Oryzias latipes: one gene and its partners. The protein of the gene in region 3 purifies or fractionates together with the protein of the main gene of each other region. This does not show direct contact. Links are inferred from orthologs where the notes say so. Each region holds a gene or a part of one and is shown on either strand. Other genes may lie near its edges.

Region 1 (3,097 bases), on a different chromosome or scaffold from region 3:
TTCTTTTTGAGCTTGTAAGTGAATATTCACCAAAAGCTTGTTCTTCCAAGGAAATCCAAAATGAAAGAGTTTCCTTTTATAACACAAAATGCTGTCGTTTGACAAAAAACCACGACAGTAGGAGAGCTTTTGTGAGCATCTGTTCACAGATTTAGCAAAAATTAGCATTTAATGCTGTAACAGATTGTGTGACTGCACTTGAAAGCAGAGATTTGGACCCAGTTTCTGTCCCACAGGAGATCAGACTACAACATGTGCTTGGATGGATTTCTATGGAATCTATAGCATTTAATTTTTAGTCAAGATTTAAATTTTTGAACATTTGAATTTGGGCTTCTCTTTAAGGGCAGAGGAGGAGGTGTCTTTAGCTCTCCTACGTTGCGATTTTTCTTTTACCCATCTACAGTAATCTAACAATGATAGTTAGCGTTCCAGTCCCAAACAATGATGCCACCACCTCTGTGTTTCACAGAAGAATTGTGGATAGATGTTCACAAAAGCCCTTCTGCTCACCATATGTCTTTGAAAAAAGAAAAACTCTTCTCTCAGAAGACTTGAACTTGGATTACAAGCACAACACTGCAATCACTCGTTGATGAATGATCTCAAAATCTCATAGACCCCTCACTGAAGCCCATAACGCAGTTCCCTTGTAAATGGTTTGTAGCTTCAATTAAAAACTGTTGTAATTGATACAATACATTCAGGCTCATTCAGATTACCGGCGGGAGAATCTGTTCTTGAACGCTTTGATGGTTTTGGCCATCATAGGGGCGATTTCTGCAGAACAGATCAAACATGGAGGTTTAATTGATGCAAACATATAAAGATTTAATGCAAATCTAATGATAAAAAAGTGCCTGTGAACTTACTTTTGACAGCTGGCTTCTCTCGACCAAGTCCTCCTGCTCCTCCTCCACTTGGAGCGGAGGGCCGGGATGAAGGCGCAGGTGAGGCCAGCAGAGAGGAGGAAGAGGAGCGGCTCGACTCTCCAGAGTCGCCTGTAACAACTGGTCGGATTCTTGAGGAGAAAAAGAAATATTTGAGAGGGAATAGAAGTGAAAGAATAGTACAAATAACTTTAACTTAAAAAATAAGATAATCAAAGAAGTTTTTTTTATGGAGTAAAATTCTTCCTATAGCATCCCTGGAGCATTTAGACTTAAATATGTACAGTCTGGTTTTTGTTGACAAGACCAGCTAAACATTTTTCATTTTAAGCAATTCTGGTTCATTTGATGGCAACAGCATCTGTTTCAGTTTTTTTTTAAAAAGCAGAAAAATAGATGAAAGTAAAAGAAAAAACTTTCAAAAGTTAGGTGGGTGATTATTTAGATTGCATATAGGCAGGGAAATACAGATTATAAGTAATACATTTGGTTAGAAGTTCACCCGTCTGAGTCAACAATTTTGATTTGATTTGATTTGAAATGGTTTATTTCAAGCAATTAAGTAGAAATAATACACAACAGCAATATAATCATCAGTTATACATTCATACAGTAACTAATCAAACTTAGGATAATTAGACATATTAATAAATATTGCTTGAAAGGGAGTGGAAGGAAGCAAACTTATATAATCCCACCACGTTATACTATAACCATTTTATTACATGATTTATCAATATCCGGTTCCCAGTTTTTATCAGACAGAATTAAAAGTCATAAGATATCGATAAAGCACATGACAAAGATAAATTACTTAAGTATTACGTCAAAAATAACTATTTTAGAAATCAACATGGCAAATGCAGATCAGTCATCTGAAATATATGCAGATTATGTTACTTATAAAAGCCACTCATATGAATAAAACATAATACTATATCAGTAAAGTAGTGTAACCCGGAACCAGGTTAGTGTTACACATTTTAGGAAGACTGATTGTAATATGTTCATATGATGGCTTCTGAACGTCTTCAAAGAACAATTGAAAAATAATTCTCTTACAAATAAAATGGTTGCGTATTTGAGTTTATCTTTAATAATAAGGTAATCAGACTAGACTAGACTAACTAGACTAGACTAACTAGACTAGACTAGACTAGACTAGACTAGACTAGACTAGAATATTGTAATTGCCAGCAGCTGTTAAATTGTGGGTGGTCCAACAGCAACAGTGCACAGGGCAATAGTGAGTAAAATAAATAAATAACATGATAAAAGACAGTACATGGCATAAGGCAAACCTAAATACAAGAAACACGACGATAACAAAAAAAAATTAAAAAGCAGGAAACCCAATAAACAGAATTGAGGGTAAAGTGTAGTGTAATTATGTGCAATTAAATTAGCAAATAGACCTTTGAAGACGTACAGAAGCCATCATATGAACATATTACAATCAGTCTTCCTAAAATGTGAAACACTAAAACTACTTTTAGTAAGTCAGACCTCGGGTAAATACAGAATGGACACATGTGGAGAGTAGACTTGAATTCTGAGCGATTATTCTGTTGTTTTTTTTCCAACAAATGTTTTTCAACTGGAAAATGTTTTTAAAAAAACTCTACATCCAATCCAAGGGCTTTGTGTCAGATCCCCTATCCTGGTTGCAGTTTAGATCTCTTTTTGCCAGTTGTTCATTCACTTCTAAACACTGATGATGTAAATCTGCTAAAGTGAAGCTATGATCTGAGCCTGGCTGGCTGTTTCTGTGTCACTGAACCCTTTGCAGCGAAGTAAATAGAAGGCTCATATTAACAAACTTTATCTCAATGATACAAGGGTTTAGTTTTTGATGCATGGTATCAGTCTCCACAGCTGCTTGAATGCTGTCCTTTAAAAGCCTTCACTCTTTATCAAACCTCTAAGCTGCATCCTTTCTGTTGCCTTTTTCTATGACTAGTGCATTTCTATTCCAACAAATTCTTTAAGAAGAAAATTAAGTTGTTTTGAAGCTTTTATCAAAGATTAGATCAGAATAATAGTTTTATTCACTCACTTGATAGGAGAGGCAGCTGTAATAGAAGCCGCCGAGGACAAACCACTAGAGGTACCAAACCTCTCCTGTCGGCGCCGAACGTCACGTGGAGGCTTGGCCACAGAATTTACAAACGCCATCTTAACCTGTCGACCTGCAAAACACATGAAGG
Region 2 (4,024 bases), on a different chromosome or scaffold from region 3:
ACGTGAAATTAAAATTTGTAGAGCAGATCTCGACGCTACGTAGTTTGTCCAAGTGGGGCTACCGTAGCGTGACGTTACCTTCAGTCCAAAGGACCCCGAACGGAAGTTCCAGGCCGAACGGCTATGGTAGCTACAGCGGCTTTGGTAGAAAAATGTTGAGTTCAGAACACAATTCAAACTAGAAATTCTGGTTATAAATGCAAACTTTACAGAAGTTTATTTGTTGCAGCTTTTGTTCCCTTTAAACAGCTTCTTAAGTAATTTTCATACCATCTGTGCAAACATTTTTCTCGTGTTCTGCTACTTTAAAATCTGAGTTAAGACTGACCTTCAACCTGTCTTTGGTTTGTTTACTGCTCTTTATACACAATATGAATGATAATTCCACTAAAAGAGACGTGGAAAAAACTGCTAATACAAGTAGATAAATGACCTATAAAGAGCCGAATTGCAGCTTCTGAATTAAATGCTTTTGTTTTTGAATCCTCAAGAGTATTACTTTTTTTTTTTTTCAAGTGAAGTATTTGTTCTGCCTGCTGTCAGAAACTGATGTTCTATGATGAGAAGATGACCTCCTGTCATTTCGTTATCTCCTTTGTTCCAGATATGACATCCGTATCTATCCGACATTCCTTCACCTGCATGGTAAAACTTTTGACTACAAAATTCCCTACACCACTGTCCTCCGTCTCTTCCTGCTGCCACACAAGGATCAGAGGCAGATGTTCTTTGTGGTGCGTCAACATTTGAGCTTTATTTTCTTACAATACTGAGTGTAAATTTACAACATTTCTTGCATTTTTTAAATTTTAACTTCCTTCTGATGGTCTGTTTTTCTTTTCTTTTCACAGATTAGCCTTGATCCTCCAATCAAGCAGGGTCAGACTCGCTATCACTTCCTCATTCTCCTTTTCTCCAAAGAGGAGGACATAAATCTCACCCTTAACATGAACGAGTGAGTACAAGTACATTTTAGTAACTATTTAACTCCTTTTGTTTAGGGCTGCTTCAGCTTGTTGGGTTTTGCAAACAAATCTGGAAAACTAAAGATGTCCACTAGGGGGAGACAAAAGTCTGCTTTATTGCCCGTTCACAAACCGTAAAGAAGTTTGTTTTCTTGATGCTTCAGGGATGACGTGGAGCGCCGTTTTGAGGGGAAACTCAATAAGAACATGTCGGGGTCTCTCTATGAGGTAGTCAGCAGGGTGATGAAGGCTCTGGTCAATCGCAAGATCACTGTCCCAGGAAACTTCCAGGGGTAAACATGTCGTACACTAAAACACGTTACGGTCTAAGAACATCTAATAAAACTCTGTACGTTGTATTTTCTCCAGCCACTCTGGGGCTCAGTGCATCACCTGTTCATACAAGGCTTCTTCAGGCCTCCTCTATCCTCTGGAGAGAGGCTTCATCTACGTACACAAACCTCCTGTCCACCTCCGCTTTGAAGAGATCTCCTGCGTTAATTTTGCCAGAGGGACCACCACAACACGTTCCTTCGACTTTGAGATCGAGACCAAACAGGGGAATCAGTATACTTTTAGCAGCATTGAGCGGTAAGGCACTATATGTGTTTAGCTGCATCTTAAACAATAAATACACTTGTAGGAGTTTTTTCATCCTCGTCTATAAGTTTGCAGAACAGAAGCATGACCCCAGTCGTCTTTGAACAGATTCCTAGTATTCTAGGGGTGGAACTGTCTCCATCTACTGTCATCCAGGTTACCCTCACCTTTCTTTACTTTTCAGAGAGGAGTATGGCAAACTGTTTGACTTTGTCAACGCCAAGAAGCTCAACATCAAGAACAGAGGATTCAAAGAGGTAACGCATCAACCTGCACTCCCGCTCCTGAAACAGGCTTTCATAGACTTCCATGTCAGATGGAGATTCTTATTGCCCCTCTTTGTCTGCTCTTGTACCCCTGTAGAAGAAGGTGGGTATGGTCTTGGGCGTCATTTGTAGACTAGCAGCTCTTGGTTTTCTTTGTGGAATCATGTCTGATTGCATGGCGTGCTGCTGACGTGTGCTACAAGGATTGTGATCAGTAATCTTGATTGACCTTTTTTTGAGGTTGAAATGGTTAAATACTGAGTGACATATGGACTAATCATGGGAAGGCGTTGGGTCTGCAGTAATTGTGTGTTTGTCTGCATCTTGCCGACTGATTTGCTTCTTTGGGTCTTTCGGGTTTCCGTGACACGATCGTTATTCCGACGCGATGTTCAGCCAGCGCCATCAAATCTGACGACGCTCTTTACGTCCAGACATTAAGTGCTCGCAGCAGAGCTATTGGTTGCTGTGGTGATGGGGTCAGCAGAAGAGGTCAAACAGATCGAATGGTTTTGCTCTCCATTTCCTGGTGGTGTTTTCATGGCTGTTTCCCTTCGGGTGTCTGTCCACTGACAGACGTGGATGTTGAGAGGGGGTAAGGTGGCAGCAGATGACAGTGGCTTTGCGGTGGAAAAGATGATGCAACTGCATTAAGCCATGGAGTCTTTAGTGGAATTTAACCTGCTGGCCTTAAAAGAAGAAGCGGCGATGCTGGACAGAAGAGGGTCCGGTGCCGGATTACCCACAATTCATTCACTTAACAAAAAAACCTTCACTCATTAATCTGTTTTGTTTCAATGTTGTCCTTTAATTGGCTACTGAGTTTTTCTGACCACAGATTTATATATTTATTTGGAAAACGATTGTATACTAACAGTGTGTGTTTGGGGTAATGATGTGGTTGGAGGTGAGATTTCAGCAAAAATGCTGGACTAGTTTTATGCTCTGTGGTGGTGGGGGGGTTTGTTGACGGTGCAGTTTGTTTTCAGGGCATGAAGGGTAAAATTGACGACTACAGTGACTCGGACGAAGACAAACATGATGCCTATCTGGAGAGGATGAAGGCTGAAGGCAAGATCAGGGAGGAGGGCAACGACAGCGACGAGTCGGATGCTGAAAGTGGTGAGTAAGACTCAGAACAAGAAGAGCAGCAGCAGCTGGCTGAGAAGAACATCTGCTTTAACCTCATTTATTCTCCCTGTAGACGAATCCTTCAACCCAGGAGAGGAGGATGATGACATAGCAGAAGAGTAAGCCACTTAGATGGTTCCTATTTTGAACTTGTTTTATCCCAGCTGATGGTGTCTTCCCGCTGGCAGGTACGACAGCAATGCCAGTGCGAGTGACAGCAGTGATGAAGGGGATGACAGCGAAGACGAAAGCTCAAAGAAGAAAAAACCCAAGAAAGTGGTCAAGGAAAAGAAAGAAAGGAAAGAAAGGAAGCCACGCAAAGAGGTCAGAGGAAAACTGGAGAAAGTACTGAATTTTTACGAGTATGAGTCACGTGTGTTTTTTTTTTTTTTTCTTTTGCACAGTTTGACCTGACTTATACTCAGGTGCGACATATGTGATTACCGTAATTTCCGGACTACAGAGCGCACATACACAAGCCGCGTCAGTGTACAAGCCGCATGCATTACGCAACATGGCCAGCATGACAAGTCACATCCTGACTCCCAGAATGAGTTCATGAATTCATTTGCACACTGTAGGAGCAAATAGCATTGGATCAGCTGATGTGTTTGAATTCACCCACATCTGCCAAACAGCATGGACCTGTATTCTGTTCACAAGTTCCTCAGTTATGGTTTTTTTTTTTTTTTTTTTTTTAGTTTTTTTAACGTATTGACAATCTAGGTATCATACATAAAATTACAAACAGTAACCATATAATCAACATTACATCCCTCAGTTATAATGAGGAAATTTACATCTGCGATTCCCCATTTCCCATGAGTCTTAGGGGCTAAAGGCGGATCTAACCTCCGGCTTGCCATACTGTTGTCAGTTTTTAAAGAATGAGCAGCAGTGGATGGAGGGGAGAACGGGAGAACAGCTCTCCTTCCACTTGTGTCGCGGCAGCATTATGGTAGTAACGGGGCTGAAAAAACGCACCAGTAGAATAAAGCAGCGGCGACTGAAAAGCGCGCGCCTCAGCGCGATACACGTGCCTCCGCGCGGCGCGTGCGCCAG
Region 3 (4,601 bases):
CCGCTCCACCTCTGCACCGCTAATACTAATGTGCTTAATAGCTGCATTTGTTTTGGGGAGGATCTCATTACTCATGTAATATTCATCTGTCCGGCTCCTAACTGTGGTCCTTTTCAAAGCCCCCCAGGTCCATGTGACTAAAGTTTCCCTTTATAAGTCAGTAAATACCTTAACTAGAATATTTTCCTTCAAAAATCAACGTTGTCTATTAACCTGTTAGCTGTAAGTGATTTTAAAAAAAGCCCCTCAACATTGTTCTTTTAAAATCTGCAAATGGAATTTACAGGTACATTTCCTGTTATTTAAAGTTTTCTGATAGAGGAACTTTAAAAATCTGAATTTAGGGATTAAGTGTAAGATTTTTAGCTTCCCAAAGAAAACCACAAAATCCTCCATGATGTTACAATATTTAGACCCCTTTTCCTTGCGATTTATTCTATTATAAGACTGAAGACTTTTTAGATAACTGATGCCCTATCTAGCCACATTCCTTTTTCTCTTTTGGAAATACAATCACACATAAATAAACCACATCGAGCTTCACTTGTTGGTGTAGAAAAAAACAAACACAGAGGCGCTTAAACGTATTTTTGTTCATTGCAAATAAGAGCTGGAATCCTAAAAGAATGTATGAGGCATCATTGAACTCTCCTTGCAGGGATGCGTGTCCTTCATCAAAGTCCTACCTCCTGTCTGAGGGAGCGCTACCCCTCTCAGAGCGAGGGCTCCCAGCACCAGACATCCCGCTGCCTGCTGGGCTTCCTCCATCTGATCTTTGACCCACATCGTCGTCGTCATCTTCGTCTCGCTGGTCGTGCTCCGAGCCGCTGTGCTGCTCTGCGTCAGACTGATCGTTGTCCCCCTGATCAGAGTGCATACTGGCATCTGACTGGTTCCCCGAGTGCTCGGACTGATTGTCGCTGCCGCTGTGCTGACTGTGCTGCTCATCCTCACTGTCGTCTCCAAACAGCTCCTATTAGACACAGGTCAGAGGAGAGTTGAGTTAATGTTCGGACCACAGTCACACCTGTGGGCTCTTTGCTCATTTGCACCTGAATACTGACTCAGTCCTGCAGCTAAAGCCACAAGTCACCTGGATGGTGAAAGAGCCGTGGAAAACTGCCACAAAGCTGAAAGATCTGTCATACTGACTTGTTGACTATCGTATCTATTTACAGTGTGAAGAGCAAGTCACAGTGAAGTCATTTATCAGCAGACTTTTTGCAATTCAAGACCCACTCCGATGAAAAGGGTGTTTTTGGTGTTTTTAACATCTTGTTTTGGCATTTTTCTGATAGTGGAGGACATATTTTAAGAAAATTAAGCTTAAAATTACATTGCTGACTATTCTTTATTCAAATAGTTCAGGAGCAGACAAAAAATTCTGTATAAAAAAAGAGCCTATTTGTGACTTAAAGCTGGGCGGGTCACAGTCTCCCTGCTCCGAACTCCTAGCAACTGCAAAGAAGAGCAGGGTTGCTCCATGTCAACAGTCCTGCTCACAAATCAGAGGCAAATTTCACATGACCTCCTGCCGGTCTGCAGGAACTACAACAAGCCTGTTTCCTCTGTTCTTAAACCCTGTTTAATAATCCTGTTTAAAAACTGTGCCTAAAGTTTATATGTAAGCTACAAGCTTACAAGCTTTAACATTTAAAAAAAGGCAAAGTGAAAATAAAAGGAAATTAAGAAACTTTCATCATTTCACTTTTTTTTTTTGATATGACAAATTCCTCAACCTTGTTCATGTTGTTCTTTCCTCTCTCCTGGCCATCTTCATTGTCGTCATCGTCCCGTTCCCTGTCACTGTCGCTGGCGCTGCCAGACACATTGCTGACTGACCTGGGTCTCTCCTGCTCCGAGTCGGAACCAGAGCCAGAGGCAGACTCTGCATAGAGGAGACGACAAGCAACTTTTCTTCAGACACACAAAAACAATGAATCATGTTGACATTAACCAACTCAACCAACCATTGACCAACTCAAAGCAAGATGTTATCTGCCATCAAGCGATGGATCCAGTTTATATGTTGTTACTGTTTGATATACAATTAGACTAGTAATAACTATACTAATTGTATTTATATTGTTCCCACTTCCTTCTCATCTAGATCCTATAATATAGAATTTTCATAAAGTTATACTCCATATCCAATTAAAAGACTAAAAAACAAAACAGGCAGGTCCTTAAAATTAAATTTTCTGTTTTTTCTTTTAAATAAATAAATCCTCTTAAAATCACAGTAACTCTTAATTTCATTATTTATTTTAAAAAGTGCATGTGTTTGAAACCAAATTGTATATTTACAATTGTTTATTTTTGCATTGTTGTTTAACAGACAAAAGTTTTGAATACAAATGCAATAAAGGTCAGATAATTAAACAAATTAATAATAATAAACTGGTTTGGCGAATTATATACAGATAATTATTTTGTTCCCGTCGTCGTTGGTCGTGAATATGATCGTATATTCTGGACATGCGGTTAAAATAGTTTGAGCTTTACAGCTTTGCCTTTAAAGAGAAATTGATTCAAACAAATTGCTGCATGATAATTTAATTTAATGTAATATAATATCTTGGAATTCCCGGCATTTAATGTTGACGAGGAAAGAAAAAAAAATACACGAGTGTTTATGATTAACAAAAACATCACCAGTGCAACTATCCAGGCAGTTCCACCGGCTTAGCCGATTGTTTTTTGAGGAAAATCCTGTTCTGGATTCGCACTAATGAGTGCGCAGGCGTGACTTCATTCAACAATGAAACCTAAATTCGGACAATTTGTAGCTTTTTACCTCTCTGGTCGTTCTCGCTGTCTCCATCACTTCCGAAAAGCTCGTCCATGTCCGCCATTTTTTCTGAAAACCGGAGTGAAAGTACAGGAAGTGGTCGAGGTTTTTGGAGGTTTTACATCCGGGTTGAGCTCACTTATCCTTAATCTGTGTGCTGACTGTTTTAAAGCACTAGAGGGCGCTGTGAAGCACCTTAAACTGAACTGCATGAAACTGAACAGGCAGTTTCCCATAGTATCTTTCACATAGTTGCTGTTTTTTAAATTTAATGCAATTTAACGAAATCTATTTTTCTTAAATGTTAAATGAGGTTTATTCTGTTAGTAAATGTAACTTATTGATACTCACACAGAAATTTGATTATTACCTTTGATTATACAAAGACATAAAATGTATTAATGTTGACTTCTAACCAAAACCCAGATGCAGTCGCATTGGTCAGACTTTGACACTTTTGGAATAATAAATAAAATAATAACTATCTATATAATTTAAATATGAACATTTAAAGCAATGAGTAGAACATGGTTGAATTGAATAAAGTTGCACATTTTGCATAGTGTTGTTAAAAGTGGCTTCATGATAAAAGTTATTTGCAGGATTTTATTTATCTATGAATATAATATAGGACACTTTCTACAAAAATGAATGAATAAATAAATAAATGATAAAAGGACAACACTAAATAATGCTGAATTGGAAAAAGGTCTGTGGTTACCGTTTTACTGTTGTCCATACTGTTGTCAAAGGTAGAAATCATCTGACTGCAGTTTTAATCTGCTTTTGTGTTGTTTCTTCAAGCTCAAACTGTTGTTTTCTGCTTTAAAAAATTTCTAACCTCGATCAAACTTTAAATTTAAACTTCAAACAGTTTGCTTTTACATTCAATGAAGAAATTAAAGTGCAGATGATTCTATATTGATTAATTCATAACACACTGCACCATAATAAATGTTCAAAAAATATTGGGTCTTTAATTTGGAAAGAAATGTCATTTTAATAGCCGTAAAAAGCAGTTACAAGTACTGTTTGAGCCACAAAAACATTTATTTTTATTATTTCATATTGGTTGACTGCAGTCTATCCATGCAAGGAACTACTACATATATGTTTTGGTTTTCCAGAAAATAACTTATTTCTGTGACATAAATATAGAAACACTTGATTATCTGTTTTTTGAATGTACATGTATTAACAGTTTTTGGGAGGATTTTTTTCCCCTTGGTGCTCCTCAAAGTTTCCCTTTCCTATTTCTATTCAATTAGAAAAAAAGCAGATCATATTATTTGGAGTAGTTTCTGGTAATAATCTATTTGATTTGACATTCAATACTTTATTAATATCTGGGAAATTCTTTATTCATAAGAGCAGATTTTCAAACACCAAACCATTATTCAATACATTTTATAAAGAGATCAGTTTATATTTTAAATCTCTGAAATTAATTTAAAAAAAATGCAATAAAACTGTCTATGTTCATTCAAGATCACAGGTTGTATGAAAATCCCTAGTAGTGTAACCTACAATTGTAATTTTAATTTTATTTTAATTTTATTTATTTATTTATTTATTTATTTATTTATTTATTTATTTATTTATTTGTATTTTATTCTTTCTTTCTTTTGTAGCTATGTGTGTGTTTGAAGTTCAATAAAAAAAATCATATCGTTTTCTTGAAGATGAGGCGGGTCAAGGATGCTATTGGGTCTTGCTTCGAATACTGTTTGCTGATTGGTTCAGTCACACGTCAATCAGAAATATGCTGTTCCTTTTTCCTGTGATTCCGCCCTTGGCTGGGCTGAAGCCG

Evidence for each region. Proteins that work in one complex are often made in the same cells at the same time.
Region 1: the proteins of leo1 (region 3) and eloa purify together in Homo sapiens (affinity purification with mass spectrometry; 3 studies listed by BioGRID and IntAct, with this or other methods). This does not show direct contact. The link is inferred for Oryzias latipes from reciprocal best matches to the Homo sapiens genes LEO1 and ELOA.
Region 2: the proteins of leo1 (region 3) and ssrp1 fractionate together in Homo sapiens (co-fractionation; 3 studies listed by BioGRID and IntAct, with this or other methods). This does not show direct contact. The link is inferred for Oryzias latipes from reciprocal best matches to the Homo sapiens genes LEO1 and SSRP1.

The regions. Positions count from the first base shown.
Region 1 is NC_019869.2:17,219,696-17,222,792, forward strand, and holds part of eloa (elongin-A), read right to left. Parts: intron 3,080-3,097; coding exon 2,947-3,079; intron 1,022-2,946; coding exon 873-1,021; intron 781-872; coding exon 719-780; 3' UTR 1-718. UniProt on the Homo sapiens protein: SIII, also known as elongin, is a general transcription elongation factor that increases the RNA polymerase II transcription elongation past template-encoded arresting sites.
Region 2 is NC_019868.2:13,996,916-14,000,939, reverse strand, and holds part of ssrp1 (FACT complex subunit SSRP1), read left to right. Parts: intron 1-604; coding exon 605-734; intron 735-851; coding exon 852-955; intron 956-1,129; coding exon 1,130-1,258; intron 1,259-1,334; coding exon 1,335-1,556; intron 1,557-1,749; coding exon 1,750-1,822; intron 1,823-1,928; coding exon 1,929-1,934; intron 1,935-2,820; coding exon 2,821-2,953; intron 2,954-3,035; coding exon 3,036-3,081; intron 3,082-3,150; coding exon 3,151-3,286; intron 3,287-4,024. UniProt on the Homo sapiens protein: Component of the FACT complex, a general chromatin factor that acts to reorganize nucleosomes. The FACT complex is involved in multiple processes that require DNA as a template such as mRNA elongation, DNA replication and DNA repair.
Region 3 is NC_019861.2:13,579,564-13,584,164, reverse strand, and holds the start of leo1 (RNA polymerase-associated protein LEO1), read right to left. Parts: upstream 2,896-4,601; 5' UTR 2,856-2,895; coding exon 2,798-2,855; intron 1,889-2,797; coding exon 1,740-1,888; intron 974-1,739; coding exon 687-973; intron 1-686. UniProt on the Homo sapiens protein: Component of the PAF1 complex (PAF1C) which has multiple functions during transcription by RNA polymerase II and is implicated in regulation of development and maintenance of embryonic stem cell pluripotency.